Pelodiscus sinensis: one gene and its partner. The main gene of each other region encodes a partner of the protein of the gene in region 2 in a complex. Links are inferred from orthologs where the notes say so. Each region holds a gene or a part of one and is shown on either strand. Other genes may lie near its edges.

Region 1 (10,126 bases), on a different chromosome or scaffold from region 2:
CTCCTTAATCACTACATCTGACTGACATTAAATAACGTTTGCCAAGACCACTTGAAGACAAATGTTTCCAAGAATCCAGATCATCTGAATGTTGAGACTGTGTTACTCTGTTCATAGAATCATAGGATTGGTCATCTCATCCTGTCCTTTCATTCATGGCAAGACTATTTTTTATCTATTATGATATGTTGTCAAGTCATAATACATTTGAGGGCCTTACTACAGCTCCTATTAAAAATAGTATGGAAACTCACATTGATATCAAGGATTGAACCCTTTGTTCCCTGTTGGTGCCCAAAATCTTGTGTGGGTCACTCAAGCAAACTTCCCCCATTTGTTTGTGTAAAAACTGCAGGAGTCCACAACACATTCACTTCTAGGAAATAACCTGCATGCAGATACCTGCCTACTAAACTGTGAAACAACAAATTATGAAGAACGATTCCCTCTTCCCCTATAAGCACTCCAAAGGCTGATACCTACTGATACATTTTCCCTCGTAGGCTAATCCAATAGATCTGCCTAGTAGGCAGGTTGCCTTTCTCAGGTGGCAAGCACTAGCATACGTTATTCCATCATTCCCACAGAGATACTGTTCCGGGGAAGTAGGCTCCGGGCAAATCCGATTACAGGTCACACAGTAGGCATTATTAGTTTGATCAACCACACACGTGGAACTGCCTGGACATAAAACATCCCGACAAGTCTCTGAAATAAAGACGGAAACATATTAACAGGCGATCCAATGGTTCATACTGGGAGTGAATATGTGAAACAATCGAGGAAATGATAAAATCAAAGTCTTCGGCAGCTTCTTTCATAAAAAAAAGAGCCACGGGATAAAACCTTCATATCTCAGGGAAGCTGGTGTGAACACAGCGCGGCATGACTCTGGGGGACTCTCAATCAGCTATGGTTTGTCGGTTGAGCGTGGTTTACTTTTTGTCCCTCAGCATTTGAAACATCTTGTTATTGTGGGGAAGTACGTCAGCTCCTCCTCCCTACACTCAGACACACACCCTGTATTATTCGGGGAGGACTTGGTTAGATTTGCAAACCTACTTTTGCATTTGCCCTGATATTGGACTTCAAGTTCGGGTTGCTCTTTACATCTGGCTTTGAGGAGAGCACACTCGTTCCTGTAGGTTTTCCCATCTAAGCCACACACAGGACCTTTCCAAGTGACATTAGAGCAGTCCGGAGCACAAACACACCGAGGTTTGTTCTTCTTGTTCATTTTACATTTCTTTCCAGGTCCGCAGTCCACGTTCTCACACGTTTCTAAAAGGGGGAAGGGGAGGAGGCGAAAGAGGCAACATTTTAATACCTACTCTGCTCATCAGACTTCAGATAAACAGTGTTTACAAAATACCCCGACAATCCCACGATACAAAGGGAGCGAACAAGGTTTGTTTTTTTTTCAGCCAGAAAACAAAATGTGGGGTCCTGAGAGATCCACCAAATAGAAGGATCATTCTGGATCATATTTGACCACGCAGAGGCTACATCCCTTCCCCTTCTCACTAACTCCAGGTCCCAAGGAGCATTTACTTCCTGGGATGAACTTTAAAATCGTAATTGGAGCACGACACAGGGAAACACTGCTACCTCTGCTGACTCTGTCCCGGCCACCCCCACCACCCCAGTGCCTGCACCTGCGGTTTCGGAGCACTTTGCAAACACACCTTTGCATGGGATACAGTTTGGGGCGCCCCCGTTAAAAATCATCCACTTAAAAAGCGTGTTGTCGTTGACGTCTTCTTCAGTCCATGAAGTGGTGAGCCTGCCCGTTTTGCAGCACTCCTCCTTGCTCAGATCAGTCTTATAGAGGACTTGGCAGCGGCCGTTCTTTGCCTGCCGGAGCCAACAATTCCCAGCTGCAAGAGCGAGAAGGAGAACGAGACCCAGCCATATCAATGTCAGTTACCAGTGACCCAGACACAACACGTGCGGCTTGCATTGACTTTTACTAGACTGTTTACTTTTATTTGTCCCATTTCATAACCTGCAGCTACTCTGGGGCAATAGGCAGCGCAGTTTAAATAACCCGATCGAAACAGGACAAGGCAGTGTTCGGAGGTATTTATTCCATATGTAGACCATGGGGACTTGCATGCACGTGACAGAGGTATGAAAAGGATCTGTATTTAAAAAAGAATAAAAATAAAACACCCTTGCAGACACCTCCCCCCTTCTTCCTCTTCAAAAATGCTGTACAACACTGTTCTAGTGCTGCCCGGAGTCTCATTCGAGGCCGTTTTAACAATCTGCAAAAATTGGTAATATTTGCCTGTTGGCGAAGTCTTTCGAAATCTCGAAATGTTGCTGCTTCCCTTAGGAAATGTCTCTTCTTTGCTGAAGAAAATTAACTGAGATCCAAAGAAGGGCGATCAAAGTAAACAAGATGCCGGGGCACAGAAATAGGAGGCCACTAGATAAAAAGTTATAGATGTCGTCTGTTTCAGACGCAGTTTCATAGAGAGTAACACTGCACTTACATCGGATAGAGATTTGTTTTACTAGTATCTCTGCTATTTATGGATTCAAGCCAAGAACATTAGTCCAAGCAACTCCCCCTTTTTTAGTTGGAGGGTTTTGGTTGGGATGAGCCTCTCGTGAATAACCAATGTGACTTCTCCAGCAACTCAAAAGCAATTGATTCTGGTACTTATCCAGCAGGGGCTAGATCCTGTCTCTTTACTCCATTGGGAATTTTCCCGGAGAGGAATGTAGGATCGGTCCCTCAGACCGATATACATGGGGAGACTGTAGAGGGAAGCGTCCCCAAAGGTAATTAGTGAATAAACAACACCCTTTTGAAAATCAGTTTTCCTGGCTCAAAAGACTGTTAGAAGTCAGCTTTGAATTCCTTTTAGTTGCCTTCACAAAGTTAACCTATACATCCAGCTCAGCGAAAAAAAAACCCCAAACCCAACAACCTTCAGTAAAAAACAACAATCTAAGTTATGCAGGTTGTTAACGGAGCGGCATCAAGAACCTTCCTCCCCCAATAATTATTTGGGAAAGACAACTATTACATTTTCTGTTTGTTTTGCTCGGCTGGGACATGTATTTAAACACATTCGCTAGTGCAGCAGAATTCATAGCTCAACACAATTCACTCACAAACGTGGATGTGAACGGGCGGCCGGGAGGCTGTCACACGAATATTGAAAGGATAGCGGGAAAATGACTAATATTAGCGTCTGAAAATGTCATTTGTGATCGCGGAATTCACCATCCTTGCAGCCAAAGCAGCCGAGAGGAAAATCTAAGCTCCATTGCCACAAAAACTTTAAGACTGCTGGAGTAAGAAAGTTCCTGTGTGTGGCTGCTGTTCATTCATGCTTTACAATAATAATAAATAACAATCATCATCACCATCCCTCCTCAGTACTATGCCCAGCCGTTTGTGGAGCCGATCAAATATGTCACCTCCATACATTTGTACAAAGCGGTCCTACTCTCACAGTTAAGTTGAGGTTCTATTCCTTAAGCTGGTCCCTTGTAGAGAGGCGTTCGCAGGAGACAACTAAACATTGAGAAAAAGACAGAAAATAAAACACAACTGCAAACAAATAATCTCATCTTACCCTGTACGGTATGATCTTCCATGAAGTGGCACACAAGCATCAGGAATAAAAGCACGCCCGGGTGGATTCTCTGATTTAACATCCTCAGTATGCCCGTGAGTGAAAGAGGCAGAAACAATATCAAGTGGAGCAGAGAAAGAGAGAGACAGAGAGCACTAGTCAGTCTGCTTATGATCGCTCTATTGAATGAACGTCAGCCTCTCAATGCAGTCTCTCTTTAAATCTATAAGGGGGTCTTAGCTGTCTGCGGTGGGCGGTCTCCTAATGTGTGTGTGTTCGGGGGTGGGGAGATTTAAAAAGTTCGCTGTGAATCAGGTGACATTTTCCACCTTCTGGAAACCCTTTCCAATTATCTGTTTTAGGTGCATTCTCTCTCTCTCTCTCTCACACACATACACATCAAATCTGCAAGAGGGAAACGCTGGAGTTCTTTGCGTAGTAACAGGAAGGAGTGCAAAAACAGAATGGTAACTAGAGCTTAGAGAGAGAGAGAGAGAGAAAAGAACTATCCACTTGTGTCATTAATACCAGAAGGCGCGCACGCGCGCACGCAGAGGAACTAGGGGCTTTAACACAATTCATAGGACTAAAGCAAGAGCCATGTCACTTCTGTGGGGAAGGAGAGGCGTGATCCTTTCCTTTAGCCCCCACATCGTGGCCAAAAGGAACTTGAAAACAAACACAATCTGATCAGCGCGCGGAAATGTTTTTGCTTCTTGTTAGAAGTTTTGGGGCGCAGCAAAAGTTGATGACGTCTCTTGGAAGACACGATTTTTGTTGCTGTTGGGGTGTGTGTGTGTGATTCCCATTCCCTGTCTGTGACTAATAATAAATTTACCCCAACACCTCAAACAGTAGTTAAGTGTTTGGCGCGCACACTCCTCCCTCCCTGTGACTGGTCAAAACCAAACAAAAGTTTAATACCTATGGTTTTGCGCAAGTGACAATCTTTTCACTGGGAGCGCCTGCAGTATAGACCGGAATTAGGGGGGCGACGTAGGCGGTCTCCTTTCAGAATCAAAAAGGTTGCAACATCGATAATGAACTTCTAGAGCACTACTTTATTAAGCACAGTCTGGCATTATTCTCCCCTTAGAAAGTTGGCGGTCTCTCATTTATAACATTTTTTGGCATCGCTGAATGAAACTGAGTAGGCGATATTTCCTTTTATACAAAATGATTACTTAACGGAAAATGGTATTGTTTATTCAAAAGCTGGCTTTTTAATTTCGATTCTTTCGCTGCTGCTCAGAGCCACCAAAGCACAACAGACAGCAAAATATGCAGACAAAATTCTTGGACATTGCCAGGTCAATGGGATTTATGTGAAAGTTCTACCGATTCCTCCCCACCCCATCCTAGTCTCCGTAACTCCCCCCCTCTTTATTCTGCAAGCTTTTCTCCTTACTCCCCCATCACAACTGCAAATAACTCAGTGATAACAGATTTTTTTCCACCAACTGCAGGAGATAGTGCTAATCTTTTAATAAAAGATCCCATTACAATGGGATCTGTCTGGACAGACTATAATAGATCCAGAAATACAGCCGTGCTAATATTAGAAGACAGTTGTTTGGGTGCCTCAGACCGGGCCCTGGTCCTGCTTTCAAAGTGAGCATGAATCACAATGTCCCGTTGCACCACCTGCAGTCACACGCATTAAGAAGCAGACTGGTAAATAACTGACCTCGCTACAATTTGTGTTACTATTATTGTGATCATCCCTGAGCAGCTTTGGGGCATTCTGATAACTTCAGAAGCTTTTTTGGGACTACACATCCCTTTTAAAGCGTTCCTCAAATAGGTGCCCCCTCTTTCTCTTTCTCTCTCTCTCTCTCTCAACCAGCATTAATGCAGGGTTGTTTAGTGCCCTCTAATGGCAGATGACATTAACAATTAACAACAAATATCCCTTACTCATGAGCTCCTGGATAAAGGCTGCTTTTAAAAGGGGGTTGGCTTTGATACTTATGGTGTAACATGCTTTGCAAAGCATAGTTTCTCTCAGTGCTCCTCAACAAGGCCCAAGGAACAAAAATAGGTGGATAACTTCAGACATGCTCTCTTCCCCAGGCCCATCAGTTTTGTTAAACAGCAGTGTAAAATCCAGGTACAACATTAACCTTATATCACCTCTGCTTAGTTAGGAAATGTTACAAAACTTTCAGGAAATGTGGTGAGTCATAGGCCTGGAACGTTTTGTGGGGTGTATATCCACTCCCCATTCCTACCATTCATAAAGACACAAGGATTCTCTCTCAGGTATATGTCCGTAGGGATGAGGTGAGTACTACAAACCTTTCACTAGTGTCCCTCAGATCCATAACATGAATTTGGGGGTGCGAGTCTCAGCATAGGATGCTGGAAGTAGGGATGCAGGAGGTGCTGCAGGATCTCCTGTCTTCAAGTGGTTTCAATTATATACAGGATTTACAGTTTGGTTCAATGGTTCTAAGCACCTCCACTAAAACAATTGTTCCAGCACCTTTGGATCTGAGTTTCTTCCCAGTGGACCCAGTAGTCCACATTATAAAATCACCCCCACTCACATAAGTAAGCATTTTGTCCTCCCCCGCAGGCAGACCCAAGAGTGAACTGCCTCTCACCAAAGTGAGGGTGGCCCCTTCAGGTCAGGGTTGGGGTCATTGGCAGGGCAGTGTGGGAAACAACAAATTGCTGCTGCTTCTGCTGCCCTTGTGAATAGGGATCTCAGTATTTGTTTTGTGATACAGACACATGTTGGTTTTATTTCAGCTTCACCTTGGATTTTTATTGATCTGTCAGATAAAATGTTTATACTGATTCTAGACAGTGTTTGTTTATTATATTGGGGCATTATCTGGCCATATTCCTGGAAATGAGTCGCATGATAGGTCAACAATGGTTGCATATGTGCTTCATATGTGCATCATCAGGAGATCAATATGATTGCACTGGCATGGAAACTTGCATCCCACCTGTTTTCTGACATCACATAGAAACAGCTGCTGTTTCTTTAATTGTATTGTCTTTTTTAAATGTTAAATATTGGGTCTGTATACAGATAAAGGTCAGAGATGCATTGTTTAATCAAAAAACTTTTTTCATGTATCTGTTTGCCTCTATTTACCATTTCTCCCCACTTCTTTGTTTTGCCAACAAGTAAATATAAATTACAGAACTGGCAACATATACCACTCTATAACTGAATTGTCAGGCAGGACATAAAAGACTGTTGTTCTGACACTGTCAGTTTTAAAAACTATCTTTTTGCAAGATGTTTATCAATTTTAATATGTGATTTTGGATTTAGGTCTAAATTTTGCAGCTGGCCCCAGTCTCCAAATACAAATAAAAATATAATTAAGTTAAAATGCTAGATACAAAGATATAAAGCTTCAGCAAAGTTCAGATTCAGATTTAGATTCACATACACTCTTGCAGCTTGGGTATATCTCTGATGTATACAATAGATGTGTGGCTATAACAAAATCTGTCTATCTATATATCACAAATATTATGTAAATATTGACTGGCCTGGCTCTGAAGCAGTAGCAGTAAAATACTGCTTGAGGAACAAAATAGTTCTTCAGATTTACTTTGTGTGAAATGTACTATTAAACAAACTATTTTTTTGTCATTTATTGTTGTGGACACTAAGTATTCATTTTATTAATGTCTTGGAGTTTTCTCATGCTTTCTGCCAAGGGCCAGTTTCCTAATAAAGAAGCAGACTTTATCTCCTAGGGTACGTCTACACTAGCCCCCTAGTTTGAACTAGGGTGGCTAATGTAGGCATCCGAACTTGCAAATGAAGCCCTGGCAGTCAGTTAGAACTAAGGGGATTTAAAAATGGCGCTCACCCGGGAACATGCAAATGAAGCCCAGGATATTTAAATCCCGGGCTTCATTTGCAAGTTCGAATGCCTACATTACCCACCGTAGTTCGAACTAGGGGGCTAGTGTAGACATAACCCTATGGTGTGTCTAGACTACATGTTTGTTTGTTTTTTTTAAAGTGGCCTTTTTTTGAAAAACTTCCCCTGCGTCTGGACTGCTGCTGCATTCTTTTGAAAGTAAATCAAAGGAACGTGGCAGTTTTTTTGACCGTGGAAAACCTCGTTTTATGAGGAATAACTCCTTTTTTCGAAAGTGATCTTTTGAAAAAAGGCTTTATGTAATGTAAACTGTGCTTTTTCGAAAGAGAGCATCCAGATTGCTTGGGTGCTCTCTTTCAAAAAAGCGGCTTGCTTTTTTGAAAGTACTGGTTGTAGTCTAGACGCTCTTTTTCGAAAATATCTTTTGAAAAAAGCTTTTTTGAAAGAGGCTTGCAGTCTAGATGTAGCCCTAATGGGAAGAGGTCACCTCTCGACCCTTTCTTCTAGCAGAAGCAAATATTTTGGGTGACAGATCTTTTTTGGGATGTTGGTGGTAGTCTGGGGCCTCAATCAGTAAAAGTAAAAGTTTTGGGGAGGAGTTTGGTTTGTGAGTGGACACGTGTGGGAGCATTTCCTGCCACATCTTTATCCAGAATTCAAGGGAGGGATGGAAAAGGATTCAAGTTCACTCTGTTTTGCAGATGGACATTTCTAGGCTAGTTGATTTTGGTCTGCCACAAAATCAGATGGTATCTGTGCTGAGATGATTGACTTCTCCTCCTCTCAGGAAACAAAGTCAGTCAGTTTTCAACCCCTAGCTGTTTTTTCTGAAAATTACTTTTGAAAATTGACCTTTTAGTTAATAGGTTCTTTTCTCTGAAAAATATATATGTAAATAATTTTCTAAGCATCATTATACTATACACTAGACAGCAATTTATTTTTCTCAGTGTAGAGAGATTCACCTCTGGACAGTTTACACTTGCTATAGAATTTCACAAACTGCTTCTCAGAAAAATATACATAAAGAGATATATTGAAAGGGTGCATTTTTAGAATGTCTTGTATGGTCAGGCCATTTTCATGTTAAAATAGACAATGCTTAGCTTCACATTGTCTTAACAAAGTTCTAATATTACTTTCTGCAAGTACTGGATGTACTTTAAGATAGAATTCATTTGTTTCTTTAATGAGTGAGAATTTGTGTACAGAATTTATACTTGTATGCTACTGATATGAAATTTAATTATATTTCTAACTAGACGAGGACAAGGATATTGACAATTTATTTTTTCCTAAAGCTGAGAGAAAAAAGTTTATGGATGTAAGATATTAAACACTAAGGCTACGTCTACACTGGCATGATTTTCCAAAAATGCGTTTAACGGAAAACTTTTCCGTTAAAAGCATTTTCGGAAAAGCACGTCTAGATTGGCAGGATGCTTTTCCGCAAAAGCACTTTTTCACGATCGGGGCTTTTTTGTGGAAAACAGTACTGTGCTGTCCACACTGGCCCTTTTGCGCAAAAGTTTTTCGGAAAAAGACTTTTGCCTAAATGGGAGCAGCATAGTATTTCCGGAAAAGCACTGACGATCTTACATGAGATCGTCAGTGCTTTTCTGGAAATTCAAGCGGCCAGTGTAGACAGCTAGAAATTTTTTCCGCAAAAGCATATGATTTTGCGGAAAAACTTGCCAGTCTAGACACAGCTTAAGGGTATATCTACCCAGCACAGCTATTTCAGGACACCAGGGCTACGTCTAGACTGGCATGATTTTCTGGAAATGCTTTTAATGGAAAAGTTTCCCATTAAAAGCATTTTCGGAAAAGAGCGTATAGACTGGCATGGACGCTTTTCCGCAAAAAAAGCCCCGATCGCCATTTTCACGATCGGGGCTTTTTTGCGCAAAACAAATCTCAGCTGTCTACACTGGCCCTTTTGCGCAAAAGGGACTTTTGCCCAAACAGGAGCAGCATAGTATTTCCACAAAAAGCACTGATTTCTTACAGTAGGAAGTCAGTGCTTTTGCAGAAATTCAAGCAGCCAGTGTAGACAGTTGGCAAGTTTTTCCAGAAAAGTGGCTGATTTTCCCAAAAAACTGGTCAGTCTAGACACAGCCCAGAGGTATCCCAAAATAGCTACTCCATGTCCACACAAGCTGCCCATTATTTCAAAATATTTTTCAAAATAATGGGTGCAGTTTTGCCATCCCGGTAAACCTTGTTGCATGAGGGTTAAAGGATGGCTCAAAATAGCGTGATATTTTGAAATTTGGCACTGTGTGGATGTGTAAAGTTTCAAAATAAGCTATTTTGAAATAGCCGGCCTGGGAGGTAGAATGGGAGGCCAAACAGCTGGCTGGAGGGCAGTGAACTTGGTGGCCTTGCAATGCTAGGTGGAGATTGTGGTTCCTCTGGGGGGTCGTGAGGCTGCTGGCCAGTGGGGTTCCCTTTTCCCCTGCTCTGGTGCTGCAGCCAAGTTGCCGGGGGGGGGGGGGGGGGGGGGAGGGCACTTACCTGGTCTCGTGCTGGCCACTCTCTTGGTGGTGTGGTTGCCCCCGAGGTCACTCTGCAATATAGCTGTTCCCTGTACTCGCTGTCCTCAGTAGTCACTGTGCAGTCTCTTGCATCAGCCCCTTCCCTTTCTGTGTTATGGAAAACAATTCCATCCAGGAG
Region 2 (9,861 bases):
CCTTTTTCGACAGAGGCTTTGTTGACAGATACTGCATCTAGCCTGTGATCAGTATCGTCGACAAAGCAAGCCGCTTTTTCGAAAGAGAGTGTAGACGCTCTCTTTCAAAAAAGCACAGTTTCCATGCAATACCGCCTTTTTTCAAAAGAGTACTTTCGAAAAAAGATGTTATTCCTCGTAAAATGAAGTTTACTGCTGTCGACAAAACTTACTGTCGACAGAACGCAGCGGTAGTGTAGACGCAGGTATAGTTTTGTTGATAAAAGCCAACTTTTGTCGAAAAAACCCTGTAGTCTAGACACACCTTCTCTCTCTCTTTCTCTTTCTCTCTCTCTCTCTCTCTCTCTCTCTCTCTTCTCTAACACAACTTTTAAGACCTGGAAGTAAACCACAAAGTTTTGGCAAAAGGATGCTCCAGCAGTACTAATCCCACTTAGTAACTGTAATACTTGATATGCAAGTAGAAAATCATGTTCTTGTTTTACTTGTTAGAATGTCAGTATACAGTAGGGTTCTTTTGTAAACTTTTGCCCAGTACTCTTGGTCACTCATTTTACAAAGATGTGCAGTGAAAAGTACCTGCCAAAAATTCTGCTGATCTCAAGGATATGAGGACACCTGTGCTTTATGAGTTCAATAGATTTACTCCTTCCCCATTCCCACCCCCACCCCTTGCCATTTAACTGTGTCCTGTACTATTTGCATTTTAGTTTCTCTATTTTATAAAACATCAGCCAGAATAGAAGGTTTGAAAAACAGACTAGAAGCACAAAGTAGTACGTGTGCAGACTTCATTTTCATTGTATATTTATGTGCAATAGCTGAAGACTATTTCACAATATCTCTTTTTTTGCCTTTGAATATAGAATAACCACAAGTCCTGAGAGGGTGATGTCTGATAGGATTATGTGTAGTCATACCCACACAAACAAAAATCTAAATTCTTACTCCTATTTTCAAAAGCTGAGATAACTTGTGTCAAATTTCCATTCATTTTCACTGACTCTCAATAGCTTCTTTTTTAGATTATGGTAGTTTCTGGTAAGAGTAGTGAGAATATTATAGGCTTTGGGAATTGCCCATGAATCTGTGTTCTATTCCAGGCTCTTCCACATACCTGAGAGAAGTTGCTTGAATTCTTTTTTGCCTCAGTTTCCACATATGCATATGGAAAATAATACTGTTTTAGGCTTTAACCTCCCTCTTTGCAAGTAAATATGTGTCAGTGAGTTGATGTCAAGTTTAATTAAATCATTAGTGTTTATATAACACTGTGAGCTCCCTGGATTGAAAGTGTTATTGAACTGTAAAGTATTATTAATGGATCTTGAATTTATAGAGGAAAATTATTTGTTCAGCAGGTTAAAGAACTGACTAGCAGCAATGACTCCATCCTACAAATATCATTCCCTAGTGGAAGTCAATTTTTCCATTATAAACTTAGACTCATGTACACGACTTTTATTCAGCACATCCCTTACTCTCCTACCAACTAAAGTCCCGCCAGTATGGAAAAAAGGCCCCAAACATCTCTTAGAAGATACATGCCATGGCTCCAAGAAAATGGAGAGTCTTAATACAACAAAAAATACAAGAGAATAAAATTCTACACCCTGCATTCTATTAAAGAACTAGATACCACAAATCTTATTAAAATAATGTTGCTGTTAATATTGATCACTATGTAGATGTAAATCAAACTGCTGTGGGCATTCAGTAGTTTTTATTACGGAGATTGGCAGCTGGACTATTGGCCAATTTGTGGGCAATGGCACAGTTACTTTTGGTCATGTGACTCTGAGCCAATTGGATTAGGAGTTGCAATTCAAGGCTGTCGTGTTTAATAGGCATATATCAGATTCAGAATTCCTTTGTGTCAGAGCTCAGGAAAGACAATCGTGAGTTTACAAATGATTGGGATGCACAGGAGGAACAGAAACCACTGTTCCTTCCATATGTGTTCCATTCTGCTTAGAGAGAGAGGTGCTGAAAACCAGTTGGGGAGGGTGCCCATTAGTCTTTGCTTCTGTCCATTCCTTAAACAGGTAGAAAACCAAAGCTTCCATTGTTCACTTGCATTGAGATCTTCTACCCAGTGTTTGAAATGGAGAGCATATGAGGGCAGAGAAGCAGCACTCTTCCCAGTGAAACAATTGATAACGGCTGCATTGACAAGGACGCCAAACGCAAGGGCTTCTTATGCAGTTGGAAGCCATACAGCCGGCAGGAATGTCTGCTCTTAAAAGCATGCACACTTCTGTGCATGGCTTTCCTGCAAACAGAACATCTGAGTCAACAGGTTTTCAGGACTGGAAACTCTGAGTGTTGTCTTAATTGTTTATACTGCTTTTAAACAAAAATGCTTGGAGTTCCTGTGCATACTTTGCCTACCATATGCTGTACCAAACAAAACAGTGACATTCTTTTAAAACTGTCTTGGCAACAAGAAAAATTCTTTGGCTAGACTGAATGATAAAAAGAGTTGCTATTAGCAATTTCATACCTTTCCAGATTGGTGAGACAGCTGTAGCAAGATATAGATGATTTTATGTATATGCATATACATCTATTCTATTATATGGGTTCCGGTTCTGCTCATTTAGGGGAGAATGTCACAGCTGCTTTCTACAGGCACATGCCGAGGTTTTTTGAGCAATTAGTTTTGCAAATTCTATACACTCAAATTATACAAATTGGAGAGATCAGAATAGTTCAAAGTGAACACTGTCAAGGTTGCATTCTTTGGCAGGGAGCACTTAGAAACAGAATATTTCCTTTTTTTTTTCCAGTGTGCAAAAGTCAGCATTAGAAATTGGATCATCTACAACTATTTGTCCTGGTTCTATTGAAGTTTCTCTGACAGTCACTGAAATGCTTTATTGCCTAGGATGCTGTGCTAATTAAACAGCAAAAATACCCTCTTGCTTGTATTAAGTTAAATATGCTCCAAGTGATGTTTTACCTAATGGTTGTTGTTGTTTTTTTTAACTAGGAAGCTTTACTTTTTAAAAATTTAAATCCTTTTCTTTTGTCAGAAACTTTCTAAGAGGTTGCAGCTCTTTCCCTTTCATCATCAGACCTAGAGTCCAGTATATCAGTGCAAATGCTCTGGTTTCACAAGCACAGTTTGGAAGGTTCCTTTACAGCCCGACTTTCTGCTCCAGATTGGTTAGATAGCTTCCTTACTGTTTGGCTGTCTGAGTTTAGCAAGTGGAAGCATGTAAGCTGTATCCAAGACTAAATCAGGGGAAATCAAATTCTGTGACAACCCTTTTCCCCTCACCCTCCTCCCTTCACCCTATAATCTTACAGAGAATATTATTGTTGGGTAGAAGAAACAAGTTAACTGCAATTCTGGCATAGAAAGATATTTTAAGATATTTTTTTTCTAGCACTCACCTGATTCTGCAAATGTGATGATTTCTGAAGTTTGCTCTACAAGTTCATTCATTTCTGCTCTTCTTCCAATGTCATCCTCTATTTCCACATAGCCGTCCTCTCCCACCTTTCCTACATGGAGTTTTTTTATGGCATTTAAAAGTGCTGCCTTGGGCACCGGCTGGGTGATGTTAGGTCTGTCCCTCAAGTGCAACATGTTCAGGATGTGCTTCTTTACTGCTTCCACCATCTCAGGCTGTGAGCTTGGCACATCCTTTGAGAGTGTGGCAAGGGCACATGATGGGCAGTCGGTGACTGAACTGTGCCCCTCAGATCCTGGGGTTGGAGAACTCTTCACTATAATCCAGCAAAGCGCCAACAAAAATTCTCTCTTCAAAAGCAAAGGCATCCTGGCAGCAAAAGTTGTTGTGATTCCCTTTTAAAAAGGCCCTGCTTTTCCTTTCTCTTCACACACAGGTTTTTTGTTGTTTGTTTGTTTGTATGGTTTCTTTTTTTCCTCTCTCCTCTTCAGCAAATTCTCTGGAACAAGAATAGAAAGTTTTCTGTGAAGTTTTGTTTGCAGGTTCCCTCTCTGAATGCAGTAAGTGCTGTAGATGTTTGTGGCTGTCAGGGAGAAGAGTTCTGACTCTGTCTCAGAGTAGGAGAGAGACACACAGAGAGAAAGAGGACGGATTGGCCTAAAGTGAGTGAGTGAATGAGAGAGGGAGGGAGTTTTGTCTGTGAGTAAGGGCTATGATTAGGAAAGGGGGAGGAACAGCCAGGCTGCCTTCCTTATGCTCATTGCTCCCTAACCCACACCTCTCTTCAAATATCACCAGTCATATTTTCTGCCCTCCCTCACCCCCCCTTTTTTAAAAAAAATCTCTTTCACTTCTTTTCACTTTACTCTTTCTCTCTCTTAATATTTGTTTGAATTTCCTTTATGTACCCCATCTTTTTTTTTTTTTCAAAATAATCACAAATGGAACAGGAGAAGAGTGAATGAAAGAAAAGAGTTAACCCTTTTTGATAAGCACCTTGTTGTGCTCCTGTCCAATATTAAAAGGATAGGACCACATGTTAAATAGTGTGTGAGGGAGGGAATGAAGACAGGGAATATTGGAGGTTTAACATTGTCCTGCCCTGAATGAAAAATAGAAAAGATGCTACTTTTCCATTTTAATGCTTAAAGTTATCAACACTAGCAAGAGATCTGAAGAGAGCAAAACGCAACATGTTTTGCTTGCTTTTGGGAAGGGAAGGGAGCTGTATAGTACTTTACACTTTTTCTAGCTGCACATTGCAGCAAAACATAGAAACATACAAACAGGCGACAGACAGAACACCACATATGTGTGTCATATTAAGGTACTGCCTTCCCATCCGAATATATCCCTAATTCTACCCCAGTGTTCAACCAGAACTTCTCAAACAGATATATTTAGGTTTGGAGTTTAATCAAGTAATGATTGAAAAGTTCTTGAAGGTGAAATCCTGGCCAAATCCTAAAGCCCTGATTCAGTTTTTACTCAGTCCTTAAGTAGGCAAAACCCTTCACTGATACCAATAAAAATTTTGTCTGAGTAAAGTCTTCTAGATTTGGCCCATTGTTTTTAGAAAGAAGTTTTCTTTTATTTCCCTCACTTAAACCACTTAGTACAATCATGACATCAGAAGAAGTGATTACATAGGAAGAGTAAATCTAAAATACTATTAAAAGCCAGACAGATCTTCTGCTAGTAACCATATGCCAATTAATACCAGCTGTAGATCTGGCCCCATATTAAAAAATCATTATCTTTGTCAGTTACAGCACCTCATGTTGCCCTGACGTGTTTTATAATCTTCCATTCTACTCACCTTGGCAAGCTAAGAAACACTTAAGTGAGTAAATTTCCTTATGTTTTGATGTTATAATGAAAAATTAGAAAACTGGATTTATCACCCCAAACTTTCAAGATTCTTTCTAACTGCCGTTTAGAGGTATCTTTAAGTTCACTTTTGGTTTTTTTCAATGTGCATTCTTTTTTTTAATCACACACACAAAATGTGTTTCTTATATCTTACAACTAAAAGAGTTCCATACATTATCATAAAATACATTTTAATGGGAAAAAGTAAGTGACAAATATAAGCATTGTGAGATCTGTAATTCCTGTAAAATAACTACATACGCAAGATCTGAGAGGAAGGGCAGGAAATAATGAAGTGAAAATAACTTAAATATACAGAAGTATTTGAACAATCAACAAGACTTTTTGCAAATGTTACATAGTGCAATTGTTTTTTTTCAATGGGGCTCTTTTATAAGAGTATTTCTCTGTTAAAAAGCATCTACAGTACAACCTAATCTACCCACCTCAGTTGCTATACTGTTATACTAAGGGCCTGTCAGCTTTCTTTTCTAAACCCTGCAGCCATTCTTATAAACACATCTTTGTAACAAAACCCCTGCTATATATAAATATCTTGGGTCTCATGAACAGCCCAAAATCTGTTGTAATTACAGTAAGTTGGAAAGTGAGTCTGAAAAAGGATGAAAAGTTTAATTGACTGAAAATATAATTTGAGATGACAATATACATTTAGAGTTACAGGTACTGACAGGTAAAGTAGCGAGGTATGTATATACATAAGAGGTATTAATATATCCATATACATTCTTATGTGGCATCCATCACAATAATCTCTGACATAGAATTTATAATAAAGGTGTATATCGCTATAGAGGTATAGGTCTATGTAATTAGTTTCCCATCCAGTATGTTGTATAGGGTTGTTTAACCACATATATTATATATATGTACTATATATACATTATATAGTACTAACATACCTTGGTGTTTATTGATTTAAAATTTAAACAGCACTCTATATTAACAAACTTTTGAATCCAATATGTACATTTATGCATATATCCTGAACTGTGCACACTTAAATATATTTGTTTTTAAATCCATATTAATCTGATATCTAGAGAGAATATAATTCATATTAATATTCAAAATTAAATAAACTGCATTAAATGTATTCATGATAACATGCAGATAAAATGTCTTAATTTACGAAAGAATAGAAAAAAGCATAGATTTTAAAGTTTTTACCTCTCTGTCCTCTCTCTTTCTAGCAGACTATGCATTAAGAACGGCTCAAATTCCTCTTTGTGGAATAATGTGAAGCTGTATACTGTAGTTCTTGTGTGCATACTCACACATATTTAAAGGAGCTGGAATATTGTGGAATATTAGATCAAAATTAGGTGGGCTGAAATACTGTGTTGGATTGGTTTATCCAAATGACCTCATCAATTGACTGTTTTCCTGTGTGAGACATGCTTGTGGTAATTAGCTGATGGGAACTCCTGTTTGTCTAGTATGACACAAAGTGTCATGGATTCAAATATCAGTTTTAAACCTGTATCTTTCCATTTAAAGTGTACAACTTGAAAAAAATCAGACTTAAAGTAAACATGCTGAGTCAGAGGCAAATTTCAACTTTTTATTACATAAATATACACAGCTAAGCTTTTGTCAGTTCAACCACAAGATTTGTCAGCCATTTAATTACTAAAAAGAGAATTGTCCTATCCTGCTTTGATAGTGAGAAAACATTGAGATACTACTTGCAAGTTTTAAAAAAAGTCAGGAAAATTAATAATTGTTGTGGTATAATTCTTTACTAGCAAAATTTTGCTTCTTTATTAACTTAGGGATGCTTTTAAAGCTGTGTATAATTCTATTTGTTTTAAACATGTTTCTCATATCCAGTTCTTGTTATTTCTTGCATATTGATATCACATCACATACTTTTAAAATAACACATCTAATTTTTTTATAGTTAACAACACATAGTTGTCTGTCTTCTAAGTAATGTTTGACTTGGCGCACACAGAAAAATTGGCCAGAATTTGATCTCACTTACACTAGTGAAAATCAAGAGTAATTGTATTGAGATTTGCTCTCACTTACACTAGTGAAAATCAAGAGTAACTGTATTGAGGTCTATTGAGTAATACAAAAGTAAAAAATGTATAAGGGTCTTTCTTTCTTTCTTTCTTTCTTTCTTTCTTTCTTTCTTTCTTTCTTTCTTTCTTTCTTTCTTTCTTTCTTTCTTTCTTTCTTTCTTTCTTTCTTTCTTTCTTTCTTTCTTTCTTTCTTTCTCACAGACATTGTTGCTAGTTATTTTGTGATGTAGATCATGATAATCGGGCCTGATTCTGCAGTTCTTTCTCATCAAAACACCCATTGAGTTCAAGAAAATAATCTCCATTATTCAGGATATTTCTTCTAATTGTATTTATATGCTTTCATTTGTACCATTGGTATAAGCAAATTTTTTTGGGGCGGGGGGCGGGGAATACGACTAAGTTGATTAGGAAAACGAGTAGAAATATTAAACTCATATTTGTATAAGGGAGTACTCATGCAGAATAGATTCCAGTCTGAATGGAGAATGGTTGAAGAATGAGACATGTTCACATGATAAGTTTAGTAAAATGAGCAAAATTAGGACTTAATGGGAACCATATGACCAGATAGATTGGTTTGTTTGCAGGAATATGTTTAAAATAAGATTTTCAGACTGCCACAAGTTTCTGATTATAGGTTCCCGTCTCTTGAAACAGGTTTCAGAAGGTTCTTTGCATTTTGAGGCATTCAGAATCATAGCACTTTCCACTTTACAGATAGTGAGAGAGATACTTGAAGGACCACATAATTTCATTACAAGACTGGTATCAGTAGTGCAGTGACTGTAAATTTGGCAGCACACATGCTCTCAGCAAGACCTCACACAGCATTGACTTTATGGATAGAGGAAAAGCTAGCCAGGAGTGTAATAGGTTTATCTTCTCAAGATCAACATGATGACATTTTTAACGTTCACCTCCTTATAAATTTCTGATCCAAGTACAATACAGCAGACATCCCCCTGCCCTCTGCCCACCAAGCTCCTGCCCTATAGTGAACAGCAGCACAAGGTATGACACTATGTTCCAGTGAGGTATACAATGAGCAAGACTGATACCAAGTAAATCACACTAACATACATATGACATATGACAATGATTTCTCGCAGCAGACTGAAGACAGCATATTTCATTTCAGGGCCTGTTCATAGTTTCCTTTGAGAACTGGTGTACAGCTTTACCAAAAGACTTATGAATGCTCCATTTGATGACCATTTTTTTATGTTCCTTCCTTTCTGTTTTTCTCTCCACCCCCTCCAACTCAGTTCATTTCATTGTTGTCTTTTACTGTACCTACAGCAACACCTGCTGGCAGTGTTCCGAGAGCAGTTCCAGAAAGACCCACTGATCTGACCCTTCAAGCTGGCTGCCATTAAGCACTGCCAAGTCATATTCATGAGCTGCCTCTATTTTTACCTCTTCCCACTAGAAAGGACAACTGCTTCTCAGAGCAGTTCTTGATTTTTTTTCTTTTCCTTTTAGTTTGGCAGCTCAAGAATCCAAAAAAGGATTGTTCATTTAGTGCCATTGGGATTTCTGACTCAAGCTCTGGTGCCGGTGATTGAAACCACATAAAAAGCAGAATGAGGCTGGACCTACACGTTGGCTTGCAGGCATGTTCCATTTCCCTAGTGAATCAAAACAGAGAGAAAGAGAATGAGAGAGAGAAATGTTAATATACCAATAACCCACCTCCTTTTTCCATTGTCGATTTTAGTCCTACCGGCCACTAGCAATGTGGCCCGCTGCCATTTCGCTTATTCACCTAGTGGAGGTTGTATGATTTAGTGACTATTTTAGAACCCTGGATTGCACACAGGAGTATTTGCATGTCTCAAAACTTGCTTTGAAGAGCAGTCACTAGAAAATGCATTGGCACAGGTTGCTGTGCGAATCAGCTGGAATGTCACTCTGTTGTACCTTATTTTACTGTAATTGTGAAAAAAGATGTGCCAGGAACTTTTATTAAAATGTTTTTTTTTTTTGGTAAATTGACCAATTAGGGCCAGTTTTGCTGCTGCTACTGCTGCTGCTGCTGCTAAGTCAAAGGCTTATGTGCTGATTTAGAAGGACCAGTGTTTTCAATCATAATTAGTGAGCTGGTCAAAAATTAAAGTTCATCTCAGGATAAAGGTCCAAGTTCAGAGGGTGAAGTAAAGAATGGCTTTCATGTTCTCCCCTTCATTTTATAATGGTTGTTTACACATATCTTCTCAAGGACTAAGTTAACCATGTGCTGTTTGAATGGTGTCTGTCACTAGAACAAGAAAAGCAAATATGTTCACTTTGTTTCTTGAACTGTATCTTACACCTTTCATTCATGCTATGAATTGATTTCTTTCCTCATAATTCACCAAACAATGAGCTATGCTTTTAAAAGAAATATTTAATGTTCACGTTCATGAAGACATACATTGCTGTTTTCCTCTCTAAATTAAAAGCCAAAAGATACAAATGCATAAAGCAGGTGACCCAGAAGATGCTATCAGATTGAAATGAAATGGTACAAATGTGGC

The links. Proteins that work in one complex are often made in the same cells at the same time.
Region 1: the proteins of INHBA (region 2) and FST are in contact, whole or in part, in a crystal structure (PDB 2P6A), measured with the Homo sapiens proteins. The link is inferred for Pelodiscus sinensis from reciprocal best matches to the Homo sapiens genes INHBA and FST. Residues at the interface, in NP_002183.1 of Homo sapiens: Asp315, Phe327, Asp337, Trp338, Ile340, Ala341, Gly344, Tyr345, His346, Gly360, Thr361, Gly363, Phe368, Thr371, Arg397, Ser400, Leu402, Tyr404, Asp405, Asp406, Gly407, Gln408, Asn409, Ile410, Ile411, Lys412; in NP_037541.1 of Homo sapiens: Trp33, Arg35, Val44, Leu45, Arg60, Phe76, Met79, Asp135, Glu152, Pro154, Glu155, Val180, Val181, Asp182, Gln183, Tyr188, Val190, Arg221, Thr224, Cys225, Arg229, Ser230, Ile231, Gly232, Leu233, Glu328.

The regions. Positions count from the first base shown.
Region 1 is NC_134716.1:98,251,514-98,261,639, forward strand, and holds the start of FST (follistatin), read right to left. Parts: upstream 4,068-10,126; 5' UTR 3,676-4,067; coding exon 3,594-3,675; intron 1,878-3,593; coding exon 1,686-1,877; intron 1,282-1,685; coding exon 1,063-1,281; intron 709-1,062; coding exon 484-708; intron 1-483. UniProt on the Homo sapiens protein: Multifunctional regulatory protein whose primary function is to antagonize members of the transforming growth factor beta (TGF-beta) superfamily including activin, myostatin, GDF11 or bone morphogenetic proteins (BMPs).
Region 2 is NC_134712.1:165,915,773-165,925,633, reverse strand, and holds the start of INHBA (inhibin beta A chain), read right to left. Parts: upstream 4,127-9,861; 5' UTR 3,788-4,126; coding exon 3,400-3,787; intron 1-3,399. UniProt on the Homo sapiens protein: Inhibins/activins are involved in regulating a number of diverse functions such as hypothalamic and pituitary hormone secretion, gonadal hormone secretion, germ cell development and maturation, erythroid differentiation, insulin secretion, nerve cell survival, embryonic axial development or bone growth, depending on their subunit composition.